3 linked regions of the Nothobranchius furzeri genome follow. The protein of the gene in region 1 interacts with the protein of each later gene in a biochemical or structural test. Links are inferred from orthologs where the notes say so. Each region holds a gene or a part of one and is shown on either strand. Other genes may lie near its edges.

Region 1 (8,342 bases):
AGGAAGAACCTGAGGTTAGTCTCCTAGTTCACAGCATGCATAATTAAGAATTGTCATTTATATTTACTTTTCAGGAGACCAAGAATCTGAATAAAGGGTTTAGAATGGTCTCTATCAGGGCTCCTGGAACAGATGAAAGCCAAAAGAAAATTTCTTTTGCCTTTTAGAGGCTCAAAACAGCGTTTTAGATTGCTCATAAACAGCATTATCGGTCTCCTTTAAAGTTGAACTGAATAAAACGGAAACCACCAAAATGTTTCTTTAACTGGAAATAATACTTCTTTAGAACAGCATTTTGTATTATGTTTGAAATTATGTCAGGAACAACACTGAGAAATTTGGTGTTGTTGTTTTATGGTCTTGCAGATACAGATACAAAGGACACCGCCAATTTTACAGGCAAGACTCACTCATATTCATGTTGTCTTGTAATTTTATGACAGTCTCATGGTGCACATGTGTGTTTGTCAAGCTCCACACTAGTTTCACTCTAAAGGGACACTTTGGGACAACTCCATCACATTCCAACAATTTTTATTATGTCAGTTCAGTGAACATTAGGTTGATAACCTTCAAAGAACAGAGACAAGTGTTAGATGTCACATAATTTATATAAAATACAATAAACAAAGAACTTTCTAAACTAAATCTTCCCACACTAACAGTGTAAACGATTAAATTAAAAGCATGACTTTAAAGGTCACCCAAAACAACTTCATATCATAAACAAAACAATAGTTACCAACCATTGGCATCTTTAGAGTCAACTCATTGTTAGAGCTTGCTGTGCTGTTCCTGTTTGACTGAGGATTGAGAGCCACCACCCTGCATAGGTGTTGTTGGTGCATTCTGGGAGATGTAGTTCTCAGTGGTGGTGGACCAGTTAGACCTCCATTTACTCAACTTTAACCCAACAGTGTTGTTTTCATAGATGCCGCTTCTTGTGCTTGAAGCTGTGCTCCTGGAGGTGATCCTAACAGAAGGAGATGCAGCTTACCTGTCACTGGCACTGACCTGCAAACACCTCAACACCATTGTTTCAGATCCTGTTTTTAGGAAGAAATGGCCTGTATTTGATTTGATATAGCGCCTTCTAGAGTCCTGGAACCCCCCAAGGCGCTTTACAACACAATCAGTCATTCACCCATTCACACACACATTCACACCCTGGTGGTGATGAGCTACAATGTATCCACAGCTGCCCTGGGGCGCACTGACGGAGGCGAGGCTGCCGATCACTGGCGCCACCGGTCCCTCCGACCACCACCAGCAGGCAACGTGGGTTAAGTGTCTTGCCCAAGGACACAACGACAGCGACAGACTGAGCGGGGCTCGAACCTGCAACCTTCCGATTATGGGGCGAGCACCTAACTCCTGTGCCACCGTCGCCCACTTTGCCTGGCTGGATGGTAATAAATGACCAATGATGTAAATTAATTGGCTTAATTGGCTTAATTTAATTATTATTTTGTTAATAGGTGAGATTCACTGGAGAAGCTTTTCTGCAACCTTCAAGTTTGAGCACACGATTCCGTTCACCGTGGGAAGATGCTCTTCCTGCAACGGTCTATACAAAGACTGTGTGGGCTTCACGGCAAAAGGACGAAGAGGAAAGTACCCTCGCTATTACTCTGGTGGGATACCTGGGCGCTGCCCTGGCTGTCAGCATTGAGCATGTTCAAATGTTCTAACATTGCCAAATAGTCCAGTGAAACATTTCTGCAGCAAGTCCACTCAAATGTGTATTTTTTTTTTGTAATGTTGAAAAGAACTGCTGCTGTTTAGATTTTTTAAAACAATTTCCTGTTGCTCCTCTGTTTGAGAATAAAGTTTCTTGAAAAATTGGTTGCAGTTTATATAAAAATGACTCGAACTTAATAAAAAATCAAATTACAGGTAAAACTCAAAACATGAGAATAGTGAAAAAGTTGAATTATTTCAATAACAAGACTCATTCCATACAAAGCCAGATATTTCAGCCTTTATTTGTTATAATTGTGATAATTATGGCTTACAGATGATGAAAGCTCTGCATTCAAAAATTCTGACGATTAGAATATTACATTAAAAAAATCCAACACTGCTTTTAAATAGAAAATTGTCAGACATAAGTACTTTGCAATTGGTTTTGCTTTTACTAAAATAAATTAATGGGCAACATTCTAATTTTTGGAGTTTCACATGTTTTTAGAAATTATATTGATATGAAACTAAAATCCATAAAAGTCTTTCTCAGCAGCTGTTCAACAGAGCCATCCTTTTGGAAGTTATTCTTTTGTGCTAAAATGGAAAGTTTTCTACACACATCTACCCATTTTTTTCATTAGGTTACATGATAAAATAACAAAAAAATTAAATCAGAACAACTGGAGACACAGGTGACACTTAGGAGAGCTGATGTTACATCTTTGGAGGAATTAGGTTTAAATATCAGTTTTAAATACTATGAATAGTCTCATCAAACTCAAATGGTTACAGTTTCCTACAAATAGTATAAAACTAGGCCACTTGTAAAAATCATCCTGATGAGATTTCTAATGACACTGGCGTTTCAAAAATACCACACCAATTTAAAAAAATTTAAGTGATGTGAAAAGTGTGAAGAATCACAGTCATTCTTTGATGAAGATTATTAAAAAATATAGTTTTAAATGATTTTTGGCTGTGTCATGTTTAGTACAACGATGTACGAAAAATAATGTAATAAACTGTAACTATTAATGAATCAAAAATATAGAAATTACGATAGTTTACCTAGAATTATATTTGTTTCATGAACAGTTAAGATTTTCCAAAAGGTAGCTCGACATTAGCGCCCCCTTCAGTTCCGAAAAGCAATTATACCGTTTCCATATATGGTATTGTTGTGGCCAGTGCCCCTCCCCGCCCCGTGCTACAAGCTGTAGCCGGTGGCTCAAAGAAGCAACAGGAAGCGTTTCGCGGGAAAACGCATGCGTCATTTTACGTTGCTCCACCTAATTGGCTACAAACCGGAAAACTCTGGACCTGACGCACAGATTGGTCGAAAGCGGCGCGCCAAACCTCACGTGGTCTCGCTTTTCGCGCGAAACGGCTCCCTGTTGTCTGGAGGAAAGTGTGCTGCTGCTGTGCGTGAATTACCACCGGGAGAAACGAGCTGTTCGGTCCAGGAATTTTACCAGCAACATTTAAACCCACTCACTGCAGCATGGACGTTGCTACAGCAACCGCGGAGAATGCCGGGACGATGGTGAAAGACGAGTTGGCGGAAAAGTGCCAGAAGTTGTTTCAAGCTTTCTTAGAGGAGTAAGTCGGCCTCGGCGTGCGCGTAGAAGTGTTACCGCGTTTAATAACCTTCTTTATCCGGTAGTAAACGGACCCGCTCTGTGCTGCTTGGGTGTGTTTGATTTGTCTTCCGTTATCAGATTTCAGACCGGGGACGGGGAGGTGAAATACGTCCGGGAGGCAGAGGAGCTGATCAGGCCCGAGAGGAACACCCTGCTGGTGAGCTTCACTGATCTGGAGGGCTTCAACCAGGAGCTGGCCACCACCATCCAGGAGGAGTACTACAGGTGGGACAACCACGCCACGGCGGCATCTGCTGGATTTGACCTGAAAACCGATCAGGTCAAACACGCGTGACAAAGGGGAACTTCTTTTCAAAAATCCAAAACGTCTTTAGACTTTTAAAATAGTAATAAACTGAAAAATACGTAAATTATCTCTAAAACACGGATTTCTTTCATGTGATCAGAACAATGTGACGTAAACTGTTTGGGGTTTGAGCGTCACAATGATGCATTCTCTGGAAAAGGTTCAGCTGAACACTCCAGTCCTTGTAGTACTGCCATTGTTCAAGTCCGCCTGGCCATGTTTATGTTTATCTTTTAATAAATCTGTCAAAAAATGTCCCATCCGCACAAAAACATTTACCTCATTTTCAGGACAAGCTCAGCTTTCAATATCTGTTAAGATTTTGCAGGTATGTAATAACAGAAAAAACAAAAAACGGATGTCTTCAGAAATTTCTGAATAGAAAAAACAAATGTACATGAATAAAAAAGTCTGAAATAGCAGAAATCAAGCCCAACATGTACTGATTTGTTTACATGTACATGTGTACATGTGTGATATTGTCTGTAGTGTTCGGGCGTTTTTAGCTGCTGTGGTCTTCTGCAGAGCAATTCCTGTCCTGCTGAAGATAAAACCATTTCTTACACTCTGCACATCCAGGGAGTGTTTTTTATTTTTGCACCGAGTTTTTGTACCTGTTTCATCCCTGAGGGGAAGCTGATAGCCAGGGCTTCTTCTGGGAATAAATCTGGGTGTCGTGGGTCGACGGTACCTGGGTTTGACTTTGTTGTCCAGGAGTCCAGAAGATGTGGAGCATCTCCAGCAGCATCCTGTCTTTGACATTGCCTGTTGCTGGTGGATGGCCCTTCATCAGAAGAATCTCTAAAATAAAAAATATATCAAATTATATCATATTTATTCAAGCAGTAAATACTGGTAAATGAAAACTGAAAAAAAAAAATACAGAACTAAAGCTAGAAATATATTTGAACTGTAGATAAACTTACTGCAGCTGTGATGGCAAATCATCTTCACTCACACGCGGATCCTCAACCACAGATGTACATGGAGGTTTTGGTTTCCTGGAAGTAGTGGTAGTAGTATAATAGTATAGTAATAGTATTAGCAGGAATACTGGACAACAAAAACTGGAACGTGTTCAGTGGAAAATATTTAATGCAGAGATGCTTACGGTGTTTGTGACGGAAAAACGATGTGGGCACATCTTGCTCCTCATCAACAACTTTTGAGGGAAATTTCCTCTTTCTTTCATTATTTAGAAAAACGAATCTTAATAAAATAATAAAAAGCCTCCATGAAAAACGCAGCTGAAAAAAAACTGAACTACAGGTGGTGTAATGAGTTAAATTACATGTTATCTAATAAACCGTAAGACATAGGATACCATAGTAAATATGAAATCAATCTTATGGATCTGTGGGTCTTTAACCAGAAGATCGGAGCTTTTTATTGCAGAGATTAGATAACAACCTCGTATTCACTCATAGACAACAGGAGAGAGAGTCTAGTTTAAAATTTAAAGATTTATTACTAAACAAATTAAACTAGACTAACTTAAACACTAAATGTATGGTGTAACTAAGGTGAATGAGACGGAGAATGGTGTAGTGTGGAATGTTGCTCAGAACCAGCAAATCCGAAGAAGCGATTAGTTCTTGAGGTTCATAAACACATTCGACGCCATTTCGTCAGCCTACATACCCTTTTGGAAGTCCCCGTTAGATCAGGAATGGCGAGGTCCAGCTGGACCCTCTCTGGAACCGAAACCGGTAGGAAAAGCAGCGTTTGCCGACCAGACCAGTCTTTGAGATACTTCCGGGCCACGACGGTTTTGTTGGCATCTAGCGAGAACCAAACCCGGGTCATGATGGTTCAGCTCTTATTCTGAAAGGAACCGTTGCAGCAGTTGGAACAGCAACAGATTTTATCCAGCTTGTCGTTGGTTCTTTTGGCTGAAGAGGAAAGTTACGGATTGGCCACTCCGACAACTTCTCTAGAACGCTTTGAACTGGCGTTAAAGATGACGTGGGCATAGTTTTATACTTCAGATGTTTTGGTTTATGGTCGAATGAAAAGATAACAGATCTACCAAACACCACCAAAACCACGCCGCCGTCAGATCTGGCAGATTCTGATTGGATCAGTAATGTGTCATGTCTTAACGCTGTGAGATCAGTCCTAGTGGAACATTTAAAGTCACATTACTTATTATATTCTATAGGATTATAATAAAGTAATTAATATTTTGATTTCACAGATTGGTCACTTCTTATTATTGACTAACACTTTGCTTGATTAGCTTATTAAAAATAGAGTTCTTTGATTTATTAAAAAGAGAGATTCCATTCTTCACTCTTCTCTTGAGCTGGAATGAAGCAGTTTATAACAAATGCATGAGACCTTGAGGCCGTATCTCATGCAGACTAGTTCTGTGTCAGAGGAGAGGGGAAAATTACTTTTGGTGGAAAACAGTCATTTCATTCCGTTACAGTGGTAAAACGAGTACAAACACGGCTAGACGATGTCAAAAATTACCAAATATATCCTAAAATTACCATATACAAACATAAAGTAAGATATTTACCAAGAATATTTATTATTTATATCCGTAGAAGAGGTAGAAGTTGAAAATGTGCGTCGAAAACAATTCCTCTGCTCCTCTAGGAAGTGTGATCAGTTTCTGGTTCTTGGGCAGGGACTTGCGTGTCATTACCGTAATGTGTTGTATACCACTGAAAGCGTAGAGTCTCAGCTTTCAGAATCCGTTAGAATCACGTTGATTGCGTAAACGGTTGAAGAGTTATTTTGTGTCGGTGCCGACACAACCGCAGTAGCATTGGTTTGTACGATTCTGGGAGATTTAATCTGTGTTAATCTGTTGTTGTCAGGGTGTATCCCTACCTCTGCCGGGCTGTACGCAACTTTGCGCGAGATCACGGGAACGTTCCTCTCAACAAAGAGTTCTACGTGGCCATCGAGGAGCTTCCCACCAGACACAAGTAAGATGCAGAATAATCCCAAACCAGCTGGCTTCTACTTAAAGATGCAGCAGAACGTCAGATGCGATCGCGTGTGTGTAATCTAGGATCCGGGAGCTGTCTTCCATGCGTATCGGCACCCTGGTGAAGATCAGTGGTCAGGTGGTGAGGACTCACCCGGTCCACCCTGAGCTGGTGAGATAGCCCGCTACAGAGACGACGGCGTAGAGGTTAATGACCTCTGATTGTGACCTGCTTTGCGTTTTCAGGTGAGCGGTACCTTCCTGTGCATGGACTGCCAGGCAGTGATCAAAGATGTCCCTCAGCAGTTCAAATACTCCCCTCCAACCATCTGCAGGAACACCGTCTGCAACAATCGCTCCCGCTTCCACCTCGACACCCACAAATCCAAGTTCATCGACTTTCAGAAGGTAACGCGTAGGACCGATGTGTTTTCGAAGCGGTATCGGCAGGTGTCCGACTTGCTCTGATACTCGTGTTCTTCAGGTGCGTATCCAGGAGACGCAGGCGGAGCTCCCTCGAGGTTCAATCCCACGGTCACTCGAGATCGTTCTGAGGGCAGAGGCTGTGGAGATGGCGCAGGCTGGAGACCGCTGTGACTTCACCGGGACCCTCATCGTGGTGCCGGACGTCTCTCAGCTCAGCACTCCTGGTGTGGCTTTAGATTCCCAAACAGGTCTTGGATCAGGGGATTTTATTCTCTGCTGATGTTTGGGTGTGATCTCCTCAGGTGTCCGAGCAGAGTCCAGCACCCGTGTACCTGGAGGTCCTCAGGGCTTCGAGTCGGAGGGTTTGAGAGGACTGAAAGCTCTGGGAGTCAGAGAGCTGTCGTACAGGCTGGCTTTCCTGGCCTGCAACGTGGCCCCAACCAACCCACGAGTAAGAAACCCTCAGTGCAGCTAAAGCACAGCAGGCTCTTCTAATGCACGTGGGACAGCTAGGGATGGGTACCGAATTTGGTACTTTTTAAGGTACCGACTGAATTCCATAGTACCGACCGAGCACCTATTCACTTCATTTGAAACGGTGCCTCGTTTTGGTACCCGTCCTTCACAACGAGAACTTGCCTAGACAGCTGCGCATGCGCAAGAGCGTTACGTCGTCGGTCGCTGCGAGCCAGTTGTAAACAGAGCAGCATGGTAGGAAGAACGCACGCTAAAGCTTGGGTGCACTTCACTAAATGTGATGGGTAACTGGGTGATGATGAAACCAGCGACAACGATCTAAGTGAGACATCCTCATCTTAATCTGCTCCGGTAGGTAAATAAAATGTTTAAGATAACATTAGCTTGATTTGTTAGCTTCCGTTTCACTAATGGTGCGTTCGCGTTCTCCTCGGAACTCCGAAATTCCGACTAGAAGAACATGAACGTGCTCTAAAGTTTGGCTTCACTTTACTAAATGCGACGGGTGATTGGGTGAAGATGAAACCAGCGACAACGATCTAAGTGTGAGGCATCATTGTTTTAATCTGCTCCAGCAGTTAAACTGTTTAAGATAACGTTAGCTTGATATGTTAGCTTCCGTTTCACTAATGGTGCGTTCGCTTTCTCCTCGGAACTCCGAAATTCTGACTAGAAGAACATGAACGCGCTCTAAAGTTTGGCTTCACTTTACTAAATGTGACGGGTGATTGGGTGAAGACGAAACCAGCGACAACGATCTAAGTGTGAGGCATCATCGTTTTAATCTGCTCCAGCAGTTAAATAAACAGTTTAAGATAACGTTAGCTTGATGTGTTAGCTTCCATTGCCACCGTTGTTATCATCT
Region 2 (7,884 bases), on another chromosome or scaffold:
GCTTTGTTTTTTTTAAACCAGGCTGTAAACGTGTTTATTTCGGCTGTGAAAATGGCATTTTTAACATGGGACTCATTGAGTACTTGCTCTGTTTTGGTGCCAACCCTTAGCAGATGAGGGTGGAACTGCAAATATTGGCACTTCCTTGTTGGGAGAAGTTCTGGATTCAGGGGGTGACCCCTTGGCACAGACATATGCAAGACCTGGTTTCAGCTGTCGCTTTCCTCGTGTCAAGCCCCTCCTGAACGAGACGGCATCAGAAGCGTCTCTGGTCTAAAGACAAAAAGGACTGGACTGCTGCTGAGTGGTCCAGTGTTCTCTGATGAAAGTAAATGTTCAATTTCCTTTGGAAATCAAGGTGCCAAAGTCTGGAGGAAGAAGGGAGAGGTACAGAATCCACATTGCTTGAGATCAAGTGTAGTTTCCAGTCCAGTGGTTGGGGTGCCATGACATCTGCTGGTGTTGGTCCATTGTGTTTTCTGAGGTCCAAGGTCAACACAGCCGTCTACCAGGAAGTGTTACAGCACTACACGCTTCCTGCTGCTGACCAACTTTATGGAGATGCAGATTTCATTTTCCAACGGGGCTTGGCACCTGCACACAGCACCAAAGCTACCAGTACCTTGTTTAAGGACCATGGTATCCGTTTTGATCGGCCAGAAAACTCACCTGACCAAAAATCGACTGGGTATTGTGAAGAGGAAGATGAAATACGCCAAACCCAACAGTTCAGAAGAGCTGAAGGTCACTATCAGAGCAACATGGGCTCTCATCACACCTGAGCAGTGCCACAGACTGATGGACTCCATGCCACGCCGCTTTGCTGCAGTGATCCAGGCCAAAGGAGCCCTAACTAAATATTGAGTGTTGTACATGCTCATACTTTTCAGTTGGCCACCATTTCTAAGTCCTTTTTTTGCATTGGTCTTAATCGACATTCTAATTTTCGGAGAAAATCTAGGATTTTCATTGTCAATTATAATCATCAAAATTAAAGAAACATTTGAAATATATCTGCCTGTGTGTAATGAATGAATCTAAAATACAAGTTTCACTTCATGAATGGAATTACTGAAATAAATCATCTTTGTAATCATATTGTAATTTTGACCAGCACCTGTTTTTGGGTACTGTACTCTGTCAGCATCACCTTACAACTAACTAGTCTAATCACATTTCTGTCTCCCCCAGGTCCAACTGTGACTATACCCCGAGCTGCCTCACCCCTGAGTGCCACTCCCAGTCCCGCCACCCCTACCATCAGCCATTCCCCTCCCCCTGGAGATGACAATGAACCAGTCAGTGTCACCATCACAGTCAAAGCTACAGGCTCCTAAAACTAAACTAGATGCCTTAGGCAGAATCTGAATCATAGAAAGTTATAGAAAATTATTTATAAACTTTCTTTATTAAACATATTTCCATGTAATTTAGTCATAAAAAGCATAAATGACTCAAGTCAGTTTTTTTTGTATGAATCATATAATTTAGCTTGCAACAGGTTTCACCAAGCTGTACTCATTTATCTCTGAGACTTTTGAACAACAATAAAAACTGTTTATGCTTCTGACATCATTTAATCACTGAAATCCAACATAAAGGGGTGTTTTAATAATTTATTCAACTTTGGATTGTAACACAACAAAGAAAAAGCAAACACTTGGGTCACAACGGAAGGTTGAGTAAAACCATGTCAACCACAACTCTGCTCTGATAAATATCCTACTTTGAGCTTCCCTAATAACAAAACTAAAACCACGATTCACCTTCGACACGTCAGCAGAACAACAAGTCCACTTTTAGACGGGCTGTTTGTAAAAACGTCTCATGGAACTAAAACCTTCTGAGTGCTGACGATGTCAGCAAGCTTGTGTTTTATCCTCACAAAGACGCGCTTGAACTCCAAACCGTCACCCTGAAAACACACACACACACACACACACACACACACACACACACACACACACACACACACACACACACACACACACACACACACACACACGTCAGTTTCAAGGAAAAACTCAAAGGCAGAACAGCACACAGTTCTGAGAGAACAACCTTAGACAGCCTGAAGTCCAGCAGCACTCGCTGGCTCATTTCTAGTAGATGGACTTTGAAGATGAGCTTGTTGTTACGTTTGTCCAGCATGCTCACAGTCACCTGAGAGGCAGAGATCTGTTAATCAACAAGAACGTACTAAAGGAACGGGTCTGAACCAGTAGTCTTTGTACTTCCTGGTTTTTGATCATTCGTTTTAGAAGCAGAAACCATAAAACCAAAATGAAAGACATCTGGAGTTTTACATTAAATAATAAAGTGATGGAAATAAGTTAACCAACAGAACTGACGAGCTTCAAATTACACATGGACTCATGGACCCGTTTGTGATACACATAATGAAAATGTAGAAATTAAATAAATAACACGCACACATTACGTTATCCAAAACTGGACCAGACAAAGTTACCAATGTCTCCACGTCTGCAAACAAACAAAGCTGTTGACTTGTTAAGGATTCGAGATCCAAGGATTAGAATCTTTATTCTGTGCAAAAGAAAATGTTGTTACAGCCACCATGAAACTCTTACCTCGTCACCCAAACTGCCAAACTAAGCAGGAATAAAATAGATAAGATTAAATAAACATAAAAAATGCTATCTTAAGTGTAGACTGTACAGAAAGTTGTGGTACACACTCTGCAGAGAGGGTTGTGGAGTCCGGGTAATCTTTGAAAGTCTTAACTATGCCCTGCAGGCATTTAGGATCCCTGGTGCTGTTCCCACACCACACTGTGATGCAGCTAGTAGCTGCTGAGGCATATTTAGCATTAAAGCAAACACAATGGTCCTTGTTGTCAGCTTATTGAAATGAACATGTGTGATACCCAGGGCTGGGTTTGGATTTTTTCTGATAACAGTACCAGTATCTGAATGGCACTTTTTGGGGGTATCTATACTTTAAGGGTTAATTTTAATAGAAAAAATTACTTGCATGTTTTTTTATTTAGTACATAAAACAAAATGACTATTTTTCTTTGTGCAAACAGTGAACTATAATTAAGCAAACATCTTTCTTTTAGAGAAATAATTATGACACAATTTTCTTAAGTAAATTAAATAACTATTTATCTTTTAGTGCAAAACCAAAGTTTAAATTCTGAAGGTAAAGTACTAACTATTATCCATCTATCTATCAATTCAATGCCCCCACGACCAGACTCCACTTATCCAGAGTTGGGTCGCGAGGGTAGCAGCGTAAGCCAAGAAGCCCAGACTTCCCTCTTCCCAGCTACTAGGGCCAGCTCCTTCAGGGAATCTCAAGGCGTTCCCTGGCCAGCCGAGAGACGTAGTCCCTCCAGCGTGTCTTAGGTCTTCCTTTAGGTCTTCTTTCGGTTGGATGTGCCAGAAAACCTCACCAGGGAGGCATCCTGACCAGAAGCCCGAGCCACCTCATCTGACTCCTTTCGACGTGGAGGAGCAGCGAGTCTACTCTGAGCCCCAACCCAGCCGCTTCACACTCGGCTGCAAAACGCTCCAGTGAAAGCTGGAGATCATGGTCTGATGAAGCAAAAAGGACCACATCATCTGCAAAAAGCAGAGACTCAATCCTTAGGCCACCAAAACAGATCCCCTCAACACCTTGGCTGTGCCTAGAAATCCTGTCCATAAAGGTTATGAACAGAATCGGTGACAAAGGGCAGCCTTGGCGGAGTCCAACTCTCACTGGAAATGAGCTCGGCTTACTGCCGGCAATGCGGACCAAACTCTGGCACCGGTCATACAAGGGCCTAACAGCCTGTATAAGAGAGCCTGGTACCCCATACTCCTGGAGTACCCCCCCACAGGACGCAGTTAAACACCTTCTCCAAATCCACAAAACACATGTAGATTGGATGGGTAAACTCCCACACACCCTCCAGGATACCCCTAACCCCCAAATTCCACTACCTCCGCTCCGCTCCGGCACGAACTCCGGAGCAAAGTCGGTCCCGTTGTAGTCAATCAGAGCAATTCCACTACTGCGGCCGTGCTCCGGCAGTGCACCGCCCTCTGTTCCGGCGTCCAGCATGAATCGATCCTATTTTTGCCGGACGCCGAAGCACCTCCGCAGTCAATGGACAGGAATCACAACTGCCCAACAGGAAAAGGAGCAAGCACAACTTCCGTTTTTCACAATAAATCGATAAACAAAAGGCGTTTTTTGTTTCATATGCACAAGTTTAACAACCTTTAACAACTATCAATGGCGGCTGAACTTTAAATGCACAAAAGTAAGCCATAAATACAGTTTCCACTATCAAAATAGTCACACTTTGTTGATCTAAACACTGCTGACCTCTCAACATAAATGATGGGCAGATTAAAGAGTTCATTTCGATTCTTCTCCCACACAACGGGTGTTTGGATCTAACTTCCGCGTTTATTGCTCGGACTGTATCGCAAGATCTCGAAAATCCCGCGCATGCTCGTTTGCCCACCTCAGGTCTCCGCACCGGAGCGGAGCCGTTGTAGAGCGGGTATAGTATAATTTGAGTTCGGAAGCGAGCGGCTGCGGAAGGCGGGGGCGGACCGGGGCGGAGCGGAGGTAGTGGAATTTGGGGGTAAGGCTGGTCCAGTGCTCCACGGTTGGAACACACTCTGCGGTCCCCTCAGACTGCCAATCCAGTGGAACTGTCCCCCATGCCCATGCGATACTACAGAGCTGCATCAACCAACACAACCTCACAACATCCAGAGCCTTACCCCCAAATTCCACTACCTCCGCTCCGCTCCGGTCCGCCCCCGCCTTCCGCAGCCGCTCGTTTCCGAACTCAATTTTACTGGTACCCACTCTACAACGGCTCCGCTCCGGTGCGGAGACCTGAGGGGGGCAAACAAGCATGCGCGGGATTTTCGAGATCTTGCGATACAGTCCGAGCAATAAACGCAGAAGTTAGATCCAAACACCCGTTGTGTGGGAGAAGCATCGGCATGAACTGTTTAATCTGCCCATCATTTATGTTGAGAGATCAGCAGTGTTTGGATCAACAAAGTGTGACTACTTTGATAGTGGGAACTGTATTTATGGCTTACTTTTGTGCATTTAAAGTTCAGCCGCCATTGATAGTTGTTAAAAGTTGTTAAACCTGTGCATATGAAACAAAAAACGCCTTTTGTTTATCGATTTATTGTGAAAAACGGAAATTGTGCTGGCTCCTTTTCCTGTTGGGCCGTTGTGATTTCTGTCCATTGACTGCGGAGGTGCTCCGGCATCTGGCGAAAATAGGATCGATTCTATTTTTGCCGGACGCCGGAACAGAGGGCGGCGCACGGCGCCGCACTGCCGGAGCACGACCGCAGTAGTGGAATTGCTCCGATTGACTACAACGGGACCGATTTTGCTCCGGCGTTCGTGTCGGAGCGGAGCGCAGCGGAGCGGAGGTAGTGGAATTTGGGGGTAAAGGAACTCCGGGTGAATCTTATCCAGCCCTGGGGCCTTCCCACTGAGAACTTTTTTGACCACATCAGTGACTTCAGCCTTAGAGATTTTAGAGTCCAACCCAAAGTTCCCAGACTCTGCTTCCTCACTGGAAGATGTGCCGGTGGGATTGAGCCACGCTGTTAAACCTCTGGTAGGGTCACCCATGGCAAACTATCATCTATTCTATAAATATGAAACATCTACTCTTAAAAACCTGAATATCCCAAATAAATAAACAAACTGTACAAATAAGAGTTACAGTATCTTTCTGGAGTTTCCCCCTTTCAGAATGTATGATTTTTCAGAAATCCGTAAAAGTGATTGTCTCATCATGTACTGTGATATAACCTAAGCAATAATTAAGTTTTTGTTACTAAGCACGCCCCCTACACCACAGAGCTCCATGCAATAGGAAACTGAGCGCCAACTAGAACTAACCAATAGCGTTAGACTACCGCTTAGACGCTTCAAATTTAAGGAATACCTCGGCTGATGCAGAGTTGATGAACTTTTTACGGACAAGTAAGTCTCTAAAATATAAATATATGCAAACACAGCATGACATGAGAATAATACTTGTAAAACAACGTGTTTTTACTCTGCGTGTCGGCCACAGAAGCACATAAATAACAAGAAAGGTGAAGTCGCCATCTTAAAAAACTGAAGAAATTATTTGTGTGATATGCTTGTCAGCCACTAGATGGTGCCATCGTATAAGAGAAATACTCCTAACAGAGACTTTAATACAAAATAAACTGCGTAAAAATGAGTCTTGATCATCTTTCTTCGGAAAAACTAACCTGATGACACCTTCAGTGTTGCTGCTGCATCAAAGAAAGGTTGTAGACGCCAGGCTGAGTTTGCTCCTACATTATTTATTTATTGCTGCTGAAGACTGATATTGCTTCAGCTGCAAATAGATGCCATGGATGATGAGATGCTTTATTAGATATTTCCTTATTTAGCAAAACAAATCCTATACCAGATGTCACATTTAGCTCTTTTGCTGATTAGCTTCACCAAATGCAGCCAAACCTTTGATGTTCTTTGCAAAAGGCGTTGCTATAAACGAGAGGCAGGGCTGTGCGTGAGACCCTGGTCATGTGACGCACAGCAGCAGGAGGAACTGAGTTTTGAGGTTCTTTAACAAAATGCGTTTTACTGAGAAAGGACAGAAACCTAAAAAACAGAATTCCACATCTAACTGAATGGAATCGAGGAGCAGAAGACAAGAATGGCGTTTTTTTTTCCCTTTCAAGTAAAATAAATAAATAAATAAATAACTAATAGACGTCCATTTTTCTTTTTGAATTTTTTTCTGAAATGAAATTTAACATATGAAAAGTAAGCCCAGATTTACCTGTTTGGTGCAGGTGAGCTTGAAGCCGAGCGTCATGCCGTCACACACTTCTTTCAGAGCGGATAGGGAGGCTTCGGCGTTCACGTTGGTAAAGAAGCGAGTCATTCTCCGCACCAATTTCTGCCACGGAGACTTTAAAAAAAAAAAAGAAGAACAAAGTTAAGATGTTGCATCTGAGAGGGACATTTAGAAGCAGCATCGACCTGAGAAGCAGATTAAAACTCCCACGCATCATCATCAGGAACATAACCAGGTATGGGAACTCCTGTCATCTACCTGACTGGCTCCCGGCGTGCCAACTAACTGACTCCCCAGCAGCATGTGCTCCGGTTTGGTCGGCTGAGAGAAGCTGACCTGACCGTCAGCTGAGCTGATCACCAACATGGCTTCCCAGTCACCTGCTGCCAAATCAGGTTGAGAGCTGGAAAACTGCATCCTGTCATTGCTAGAGAGGGGAACACATCTTCAGCTAAGAGACGGATGGATGTCTGGAGATAAAACATCAAGACAGAAAGCTCTGACCTGTTTGTTTGAGATCTAAGCTCCACATCAGTGTGACGAACTTGGTTTCCTGTTGACTTTTGAGACCCTGCAGACATGGAGATGTGATTTATCAGAGGGAGAAAAAGGGCCAACATTACAGCTTGAATGTGTCTGGATCAGATGCTGATGACATCACCCACCTTGTGTGAACCAGCGGTCTTTTTTTATGTCCGAAACGGTGATTCTTGTATCGGGATTGGGAAGTAATAACTTGGATAACAAACCTGAGGGAATTAGTGGAATAATCATGAATTAGTAACAGTTTTAATATCATTTTAACAGCTTTTTCAAAAATGTGTTAGGCTTACTAAGAGGCAGCGGTTGTATTTTCTTCCAGGGAGGAAGGTAGGTTTTTTTCTGAAGCCAGTCTGAAAACTCCTGACAGGTCTCGGACGGCTGATCCCAGGGCAGCTCTAACAACAGCACATGTTCTGTTAGCTCTTCACATCATACCGCTTGTGTTTCTGTTTAATTCTAATACATCATGCTAGTGTCAAATAAATGTATTAAAGGCATTT
Region 3 (8,113 bases), on another chromosome or scaffold:
AATGGTAGCATCAGCGGAAACTTGCACAGAGTATCAATATTAGGCCAAGAAACGTGCTCATGGACCCCCTAAAAAACGCCCACTCAGCAGAGACTTTTGTACTGAACTGACGAATCCGCCCCACCTGTGTGACTTGTTTACGTGCACGTTGTGGTGGGTTTCCCTTCTTTTCAGAGCACTGACCGTTTTTTGTTTTCTTTTGCCATGCGACGTTGCACACCTGATAAATGACATAAATATTTAAGTTCTACTTTAATAGATCAGTTGTTCCTCTCTGTGCAAACTGCAATGATGGCGACGCGGTTTCTGACAGCCTTCGCGGATCAGTTTGTGGCTCTTCGGCTGGTTTTAAAAGTAGAAACGATTAAACGTTGGGACTGATCTCGACTTGAATTGGCTCGCTCTCCAACCAAACCGCAGGTTACTCCATAAACAATGTTACTGTCGAGTTAAGTTGCTTCGGTAGACGCCGGTCTTGTTACGAGTAGCCGAGTACTCCCGGAGGGAACTATTTTTTTTACTTTTGTAAACGCGACGCCACCCGTTCAGTTTGTTTAATGGTAACCACCAGTTAGCATTAGCAGCGTGTATAAAGACCATTTCTGACAAAGTACCTTATCTCATCCTGTATATGCAGCACGCTTGTGACGTAGACCTCAATTTGCCGTACCACTGGTAGTGATCAACCAAACATGTTTTTTTGTGAATCGTAACATCGTAATGGTGTGGAATACTACCCTCTGTTTATCTGTCCGACAGACACAACAAGCTGTTGGTAGTTACTTTAGCTAATCTCCGTGTTGTCAAGCGTAATTAGGCGAGATATCGACTACGTCCGACCGCCGTAGTATTCTGGTCGTCAGTATGTACAGTGAGTATTGTCCATCCCTACATGAGCACAGCTTTTCCTCAGTTTAAAAACAAGGTTTTATTTTATTTTTTTCAATTTCCATTTTGTGAAAGCTCATGAAAGGAAACCGGCCAGATCGATATTTCGTCGGAATCGGAGAAACGGTTCCGTTCTAGTTAGCGTATTTGTTTGAACTTATCCTCGGCCAGCTTTAGCAGTTTGACTAAAACGAGTGGAGCATATAGTTAGCATATATGCTGTTATTTATTAGGAATGCCGACGCTTTATGCACTCCCCAAAACCAGAGTATATATTTATGCCTTAACCGGGAACTTAAGTGGGATTATTTCTATCAGGTATTTAAAGAAAAATCTACCTTTTAAAGTCTGTTGTTACGTGTTTCATTTAGCATACTGTTGGAAATGTGTTCCGGGGCGTGATTGGCATGTTTCACGGCAGAGACGTCGTTGGAGGATGTAAATAGTCGGTACGTTTGCTCCAACATCCCCTCTGCCGCCTCGGTTTAAAACCTCAGCTGTAAACTGTATATTTTATCCTTAAGTACAGGTTTTCCCTGGCTTCTTGTTGTTGATCAACACAAATGATGAGGATTAGCTTTGTGGCTAAGTGTCCCAAGATGAAAGGGGTCCCATCTTTGTAGTCCTCACTCCCGTTGGCTCACCAGCAGGTAACGCGTGGATTTGTTTGTCTGGTTCGTGTGACACGAGACTTCAGTCTTGGCTGCTTTGCAGGTGCTGCTTTTAGTACGTGGTGCTGCCAAAGCTGCAGCTGTAGCGCAGTTTTAACGCTTACGGGAATTTTAATCAGGTTCAACACTGGAGCGGTTCGTTTTATCTTGTGCTAAAAAGCATTCCTCCTGATGCTGTCAGCTTTTTTACTTTGACACATTTGCTGGCTGTTTTGTCTCCTTTTGTTTTCACACCAAGTGCATTTTTTGTGTCCTTTCGTTTCGACCCGAGACACAAATATCAGGTTTTTTCTGTTGGCGCTGCTGAAGCACATTTCCCCGATGTCACGTCTCCTCTTCTGTACCAACCTGACCGATGACATTGTTCTCCACCGTGTACTCAGATGTGTTGTATATTAAAGGATCCTATTTATTATCTTTGGGTGTTAATAAAAAGAACATTTTACACTTTTTGGTCTGGAATGAAAAGATGACACATGAGCTGCACAAGTTTTATTAAATCTATTTACTCGTGAGACAAACTGTTAAATGCACCGTGCTGAATGTAAACAGGAAGTTGGCTCTGCAGTTACACATTATAAACAGTCGGCTGTTATTGAGTCATACCTTTAATTCTAGTTGGAATATATAAATCTTTAGTTTACAAAAAGGTGAAAAAACTTTATTAAACTGTTCTAACAAAAGGAAAACCGTTGAGCTGTCCCGCGCGTGAGCTCACGGCTCGTTGCCGTTCACGCTCTTGTGTTGCTCTATTCGGCTCCTTCGCAGTGTCTCGATGTGTTTGGCTCTCAGCCAGCTGTCTCTGGACAGGGACGTGTGTCCCAGGCTCAGGGACAGCAACCTGCGGACGGAGACGCACACACACTCAGTCGGGTTTCAGCTTTTCACTCATCTTGAACAGGAAATCTAGATGCCGACGGTCAGAAGGCATCGTTCGGCGCTCAGTTAACCTTCACGAGGAGCCGCAGTCTGGACAAACGGCTTTTATGACCGCACCGATGAGCTAACGGCTAGGCTGAACACAACACCAGTTACTGATCTGTCATAACGGTTCACGCTCAGGTTTCTACAATAAATGCTTATTTATGTGGAACTTATGGAGTAAGTGTCACCAGCAGCGGCCAGATATGGCAAATAAAAACAGATTTTAGAGCATTTGTTGTGCAGATGTTATTCAGGAACATAAATGTACATTTTGGTCAACTTTACTCATTTTTTTATATTTTTGCAGTGGAATAAATGCCTTTTAAGTCGTACTCCGGGGACAAAAACTCACAGAAGGCTGCCAGAGAAAAAAAAAGTTACAGACGACAGGATTTGGATTCCTGATATTTGGACAGCTCTGATTGGCTAACAACAACACGACTCTACCACTGACTGCTCTGCAACGTTGATGTTTCATCTCCACAAATAACACAAGCCTGGAGAAGTTCTGCTGTGTGGTGGAGTTGCTAATGCTAACAGTTAGCTTCTACTAGCTGAGACGTTCTTTGCTGTTTCCTGGACGCTAAACCAACAACAGCCTTCCCCGTCGTGAGCCAACATGGGCGAGTCGATGAATGTTAGTGACAGTGTGACTTAGATCTGTCAGGATTTTCTAATCCTAGAGTTTCACCGTCTGTTTTCTATCAGAAGCTAAAGCTTGGTTTATGCTTGACGCATTTACTTTCCACGCGGTGATGCGGCTCGCGGATGGAACGCGCTTCACAACTCGCAGCGTTTATGGTTCGTGCGGCTTGTCTCTGCGGTGAGCCAATATTCTCCCAAACTGTAGGGGGCAGCATGGAGCTCTATGGCATGCATCCAACACTACACCATAGTAGAAGTAGAAATTACTGTTTACAACATGGCATTTCAGCATTTTTAACAGCGTTCTCGTCTTTTCCGACAGTGCGAGCTATTTCTCTCCAAGAATTATTAACAACATGTTGATCACGGTGATCTCTGAGAGCTGAATCATACAAATGTCTGTATTTACGAACCTCTGCCATACTAGATCTTGCCGGTCCGCCATGTTTTCCCGCGTCCGTCCGTCCGCGTGGTTAGAAATTTTCCGAGGTGTGCGTTGCGGAAATTCTGGGCCGTGCGGAGGTGCGGTGGAGGGGCGTGGTTGTTAAAATGACGCAACTTTTCCGTGCGGCCCTCGCGGACGCGTCAAGCATAAACCAACCTTAATGCAGGAGATAGGTGTAGGAGACTATCATCATGTTCAGCCTGCATGAAAAACCTCAGAGTGAACTGTTAAAATCAGAAATAATTAGTTAAAAAATAAATGGTTCCTAGAAGAACCTAGTCTTCAACAGCCTTGTAAGCTAATAAAACTCAGTTCTACTTTGGAGGAGAACCTAGTCTGAGCTCACCTGGCCACTACAAGCAGCCTGTGGAGATCTTCTGCAGAAACGCCCTGGGGGTCGTCCTTCCTCATCTCCACAAAGTCCTCCTCCACTGACTTGACGGGCAGAAAGCAGAGATGTAAAAACAACCAAAAGGCTCTTTAACCGTGTCCTGGCACACGTCCAGCCTCACCTTGGTCACGTCGTCTGAGATGCTGTAGTCGAGCAGACGTGCCACGCCCAGATAAACTCTGAACTTGTTCAGCTGCGAGGACACCTGCGGGTGGACGTGGACGCTCCTGATGTACTCCTCTACGTGGGACGAAGACACTTGCGGTTGCAGATGTATGTGACAGTCGGACTGTAGGAATAGAAGCGTCAGGACTTCACCCAGGAGCCAGAGAAAGCCTCGAGCCTGAGCCCACGGTTCAGCATAAACAGTCTGACGTAAACGCTGCCATGTACAGGTTTGTTTACAGCGCTCGGGGTGAGCATATCGCCCCATGTGACGCCACTCCCTGGATTGTTCCTGTAGCACGCAGCTGCCAACACGGCAACTCATTAGAGCAGCATCCAGGAATAGCACATGGCGCATTCCTCGTGCTGCCGGCAGCAGCGCGTCACCCCGGCTAAGGCTGCGGCACGGAGGGGGGTCTGCAGCTGGCCAGTGGCAGCTGTTAGCACAACCTCCAGCTTCTGACGCGGCTGCGTCTCATGAGAAACTAGTGGAAACCCAACCGGGGTGCGCGTCTTAAATAGACAGGAGAGAGTTTACAGTCTGCAGCAGCACCTGATTGGCTCTTACCGGCAGCAGTGAGCGACCCTCGGATGCGACGAGCACGTTAATATTGCAGGGGAACTCCATCTGATGGTAGTTGAAGTCATAATCAACCTTCTGCCACGAGATCAGGTTCCCCATGGCCGTGACATTACGCACACCTACAACACAGGAGAGAAGATTGCTTACCAGATCATTAGGATGATCAGTGCTGCCCCCTTGTGGCTAGCAGAGGTCCCACCTGTTGTGTCCAACTGTCCCTGCTCTAGCTGGGTTTCATCCAGGAAGAGGGAGGTGTTTTGGGACAGCTGCAGGGTTCCGCTCGTCAGGCGGTTTGCGATGTAGTCCTTCTTAGGCACCAGCCGCAGCTGGTTCATGTTCTGGAGGCTCATGCCCAGGTAATGGGACTGCAGGTAAAATCATTTAAGGCCCATTAGCAGACGAACGCACGGAAACGGAAACCTCTGGGTCTGGACTCACCGAAGGCACAAGCTGCTGGATGATCTGGTAAAGGCGCTCGGCGTACGGGGGCGCGGTCGGACAGCCGCTCAGGTTCAAGGTGAACTTTCCCAGGGGGAGAACATCCCTTCTGGCATATCTGGGAGGGAGGAATCAAACTCAGGCGAAAGCATCCCCAAAGCCACAAAACGGGAACTTACTGAGCTCTGGAGGGGGCGTGGGAAAAATAAGAGACATTTTTGGATCCTGGCTTTGTTTTGGTACATGGTCTGTATTTGAATAGCACCTTCTTAGGGTTCTACAGCCCCCCAAGTCACTTTACAACACACCCATTCACACTCTGGTGGGGATGAGCTACAGGGTAGCCACAGCTGCCCTGGGGCACACTGACAGAGGCGAGGCCTGCCCAACACCGGCGCCACCGGTCCCTCAGACCACCATCAGCAGACAAGGTGGGTTAAGTGGCTTGCCCAAAGCGCTGGGATCGAACCCGCAACCTTCCGATTACTGGACAACCCGCTCTACCTCCCGAGCTACTGCTGCCCCTTGTTTTGAGGGTTTCTGAGATTAGTTCCTCTTTCCTTGGGAGGTTCTGCTCCCCTCAGCCGTGAGACGGGTAAACGGGGGCGAGCGCAGACAATGTGACGTTCTATCTCAGGGTTCCTCAAAACAAAGTCAGGATCCAATGTTCTGCCCCTCCAGGGCTCCGAGTCTGAGCAGGATGACGTAAACTTGACGTACACGGTAGAAATGAGATGCAGAATGAGGTACTCGGCAGCCAGAGCGTCCCCCAGACAAACATGAGTAAAATATGAAAGCAGCTCCTCCCTGACGGCGGCCATCTCGCTCAGAGTCGACGATAAAACTGTAGATGAAGGAAAATACGTAAAGACACATAAACACTAAACATTTACTTCACGCTTCGGTTTTTCTGAATAATTCAGATTTTTTTTTCCTGCTGCAAATTCCTCAGAAAAAAAGCAGGAAAAGGAAATTTTGCGTCTCCTCACAGGCCCCGTTGTCCTCCAGGCGTGTGCAGGGCAGCAGGGGGTTGTTGTGCGACAGCGGCTTGGCGTAGAGCACATGGAGGCGGGGGACGAGAGACGCCGGCGGGCTGCGGACCCTCTGCTCTTCTGCCGTCTCCATACACTCTGTGGGGTCAATGAGGTCGTCTCTGTAGAGGAGCGGAGGATGAGTTCCCAGACGGGCGGCCGGAGGATAAACTCAAACGTTTTCTTACTTTTCATCCACCAGAGCGCTGAGAGCAGGACTGACGGAGAGGATCCCGTAGACTTCTAGTGTGTCGTTCAGTTTAAAGCCGTCCCAGTTCTCATAAACCTGGACAACAACAGGCACCTTTCAGCCCCCGCGCCGCACGCCACTGCAGGGAAAACGGAGGCAGAACGCACCTTGACAAGGCAGGAGGGTCCTTTCTCTCCAGGAAGTGGGAAGTTCAGGTCAAGGTGGGAGGAAGTAGCTGCCTGGCTGGAAGGAGCTTCAGTCTCCTGGCGTTTACAGTCGCTGCTTGGTTCTGTCGGACTCTGAGAAGCTGCAGCGGAAATCACAAAAGTCTAAAAACACTGAGATGTCCTGAGCTGCAGCTACGATGGCGAGGCACAACATAAAGATCTAAACAGCAGCTAATACCAGAATGTCCTTCCCGTTGCTTCTGAGGCTGGACGTCCATGTCCTCGTCTTCTTCGTAGCTCCGTTTCTGTCTGCTCGGGACGTACGAGGTGGAGGGGAGTTGTCGCGCTTGGCTAGCGCCCGCATATCTGTGCAGCAGGGTTAAGGAACGCTCCACAGTGTCTTTCAGGAAGTGTTTAAGCATCGGATTGGGTAAATAACACAAAAAAGTGTGTTTTCATCAAACCTCGGGCGGGATTAGGATATTTCCTTGACCCACTGGTTCTCTCCGGGAATTGGAACACAGTAGAAGGTTTGCCTCTCCGCAGTCACGATGTTCCTGGAGTTAAAGTCCACCTGGAGACGATACAGATCGGCTTATTCGTGTTGCAGAACTTCACCAACAGCCTGAACGGACGTAAACTCACCCCACACTCGGCCACGTCTCTATACTTTCCACAATGCAGCATCTGGGGAGCAGCAGACAGAAAACAGGACATAACATAAAAACAGGACATAACAGAACATAAAAAAACAAGCAGCCACAGGCGGGAGGACGGGGACACACGCACTTTGGCGTTGGTGGATGGATCAACGGTCTCGTACACGCCCATGTAGAACTCGGGATCAAACATGTCCTGGACCAGGCAGCGAAACTTCACCAGGCTGTTGGGCTTCAGGTAGTGCAGAGGGACGTCGTTCAGAGACGGCACCTGAAAATAAACACAGGAGACAAATCTGAGACAGGAACGGATGTTTGTTGTCTCCAGAAACCTTCCTGAGACGGCGAAGACATTACTGTGGCCTGGACGTCCTCCTTCAGTTGCTCTTTAAAAAATTCCAACGCCTTGGCCTCCCATCCAGTGGCTGGACCGCTCTGAGATGCTGCTACAATAAAAACATTAATAAACACACATCAGAAGTATTTTAACAAGTTAAAAAGCCTTTTCTTGAAGTTTCACAAACATAATAAAAGTTCCATTAAAGACCACGTAAGTTTTAAATACTCTGAATTTAGTGAATCCAGTCCAACTGTTGCAGGATTTTAATTAAAGCGGAAAACTGTTTAGTTGTCGGACTTTCCCTTTTAACAAAATGCTAATCGGAACCGATTTCGGACGCTAGCTACGATTTATTTGCACTTTTTTCCCCAGCAAAAACTAGGATATAGGCCACGGCCTGATAAGGGGGGTGGGTTTGTTACTGGTTGATAATAATTCATCAAGTTTATTAAGTGACAAAAGCAAAGCGACAACATGTGATGAGCTCATGTTTTAGCCTTTTAGCTAACTAGCTAGTCTCACGCTTGAACAGTTCAGCTAATATCTCACCAAACATCTCCTGAACGACACCCAGAG

The links.
Region 2: the proteins of mcm6 (region 1) and chek1 form a complex in vitro, tested with the Homo sapiens proteins (2 studies listed by BioGRID, with this or other methods). The link is inferred for Nothobranchius furzeri from reciprocal best matches to the Homo sapiens genes MCM6 and CHEK1.
Region 3: the proteins of mcm6 (region 1) and mcmbp form a complex in vitro, tested with the Homo sapiens proteins (2 studies listed by BioGRID). The link is inferred for Nothobranchius furzeri from reciprocal best matches to the Homo sapiens genes MCM6 and MCMBP.

Annotation. Positions count from the first base shown.
Region 1 is NC_091751.1:64,039,998-64,048,339, forward strand, and holds the start of mcm6 (DNA replication licensing factor MCM6), read left to right. Parts: upstream 1-3,056; 5' UTR 3,057-3,187; coding exon 3,188-3,285; intron 3,286-3,404; coding exon 3,405-3,551; intron 3,552-6,461; coding exon 6,462-6,572; intron 6,573-6,658; coding exon 6,659-6,746; intron 6,747-6,820; coding exon 6,821-6,982; intron 6,983-7,058; coding exon 7,059-7,224; intron 7,225-7,302; coding exon 7,303-7,451; intron 7,452-8,342. UniProt on the Homo sapiens protein: Acts as a component of the MCM2-7 complex (MCM complex) which is the replicative helicase essential for 'once per cell cycle' DNA replication initiation and elongation in eukaryotic cells.
Region 2 is NC_091750.1:44,923,245-44,931,128, forward strand, and holds the end of chek1 (serine/threonine-protein kinase Chk1), read right to left. Parts: intron 7,780-7,884; coding exon 7,675-7,779; intron 7,591-7,674; coding exon 7,507-7,590; intron 7,413-7,506; coding exon 7,346-7,412; intron 7,269-7,345; coding exon 7,100-7,268; intron 6,956-7,099; coding exon 6,824-6,955; intron 2,164-6,823; coding exon 2,062-2,163; intron 1,916-2,061; coding exon 1,826-1,915; 3' UTR 1,597-1,825; downstream 1-1,596. Other genes in the region: V-set and immunoglobulin domain-containing protein 10-like 2, read left to right, coding at 1,192-1,337. UniProt on the Homo sapiens protein: Serine/threonine-protein kinase which is required for checkpoint-mediated cell cycle arrest and activation of DNA repair in response to the presence of DNA damage or unreplicated DNA.
Region 3 is NC_091752.1:5,503,933-5,512,045, reverse strand, and holds the end of mcmbp (mini-chromosome maintenance complex-binding protein), read right to left. Parts: coding exon 8,087-8,113; intron 7,644-8,086; coding exon 7,555-7,643; intron 7,469-7,554; coding exon 7,328-7,468; intron 7,226-7,327; coding exon 7,184-7,225; intron 7,113-7,183; coding exon 7,023-7,112; intron 6,907-7,022; coding exon 6,777-6,906; intron 6,679-6,776; coding exon 6,539-6,678; intron 6,468-6,538; coding exon 6,370-6,467; intron 6,304-6,369; coding exon 6,140-6,303; intron 5,995-6,139; coding exon 5,871-5,994; intron 5,269-5,870; coding exon 5,151-5,268; intron 5,078-5,150; coding exon 4,912-5,077; intron 4,832-4,911; coding exon 4,698-4,831; intron 4,254-4,697; coding exon 4,086-4,253; intron 4,009-4,085; coding exon 3,920-4,008; intron 2,401-3,919; coding exon 2,274-2,400; 3' UTR 2,037-2,273; downstream 1-2,036. UniProt on the Homo sapiens protein: Associated component of the MCM complex that acts as a regulator of DNA replication.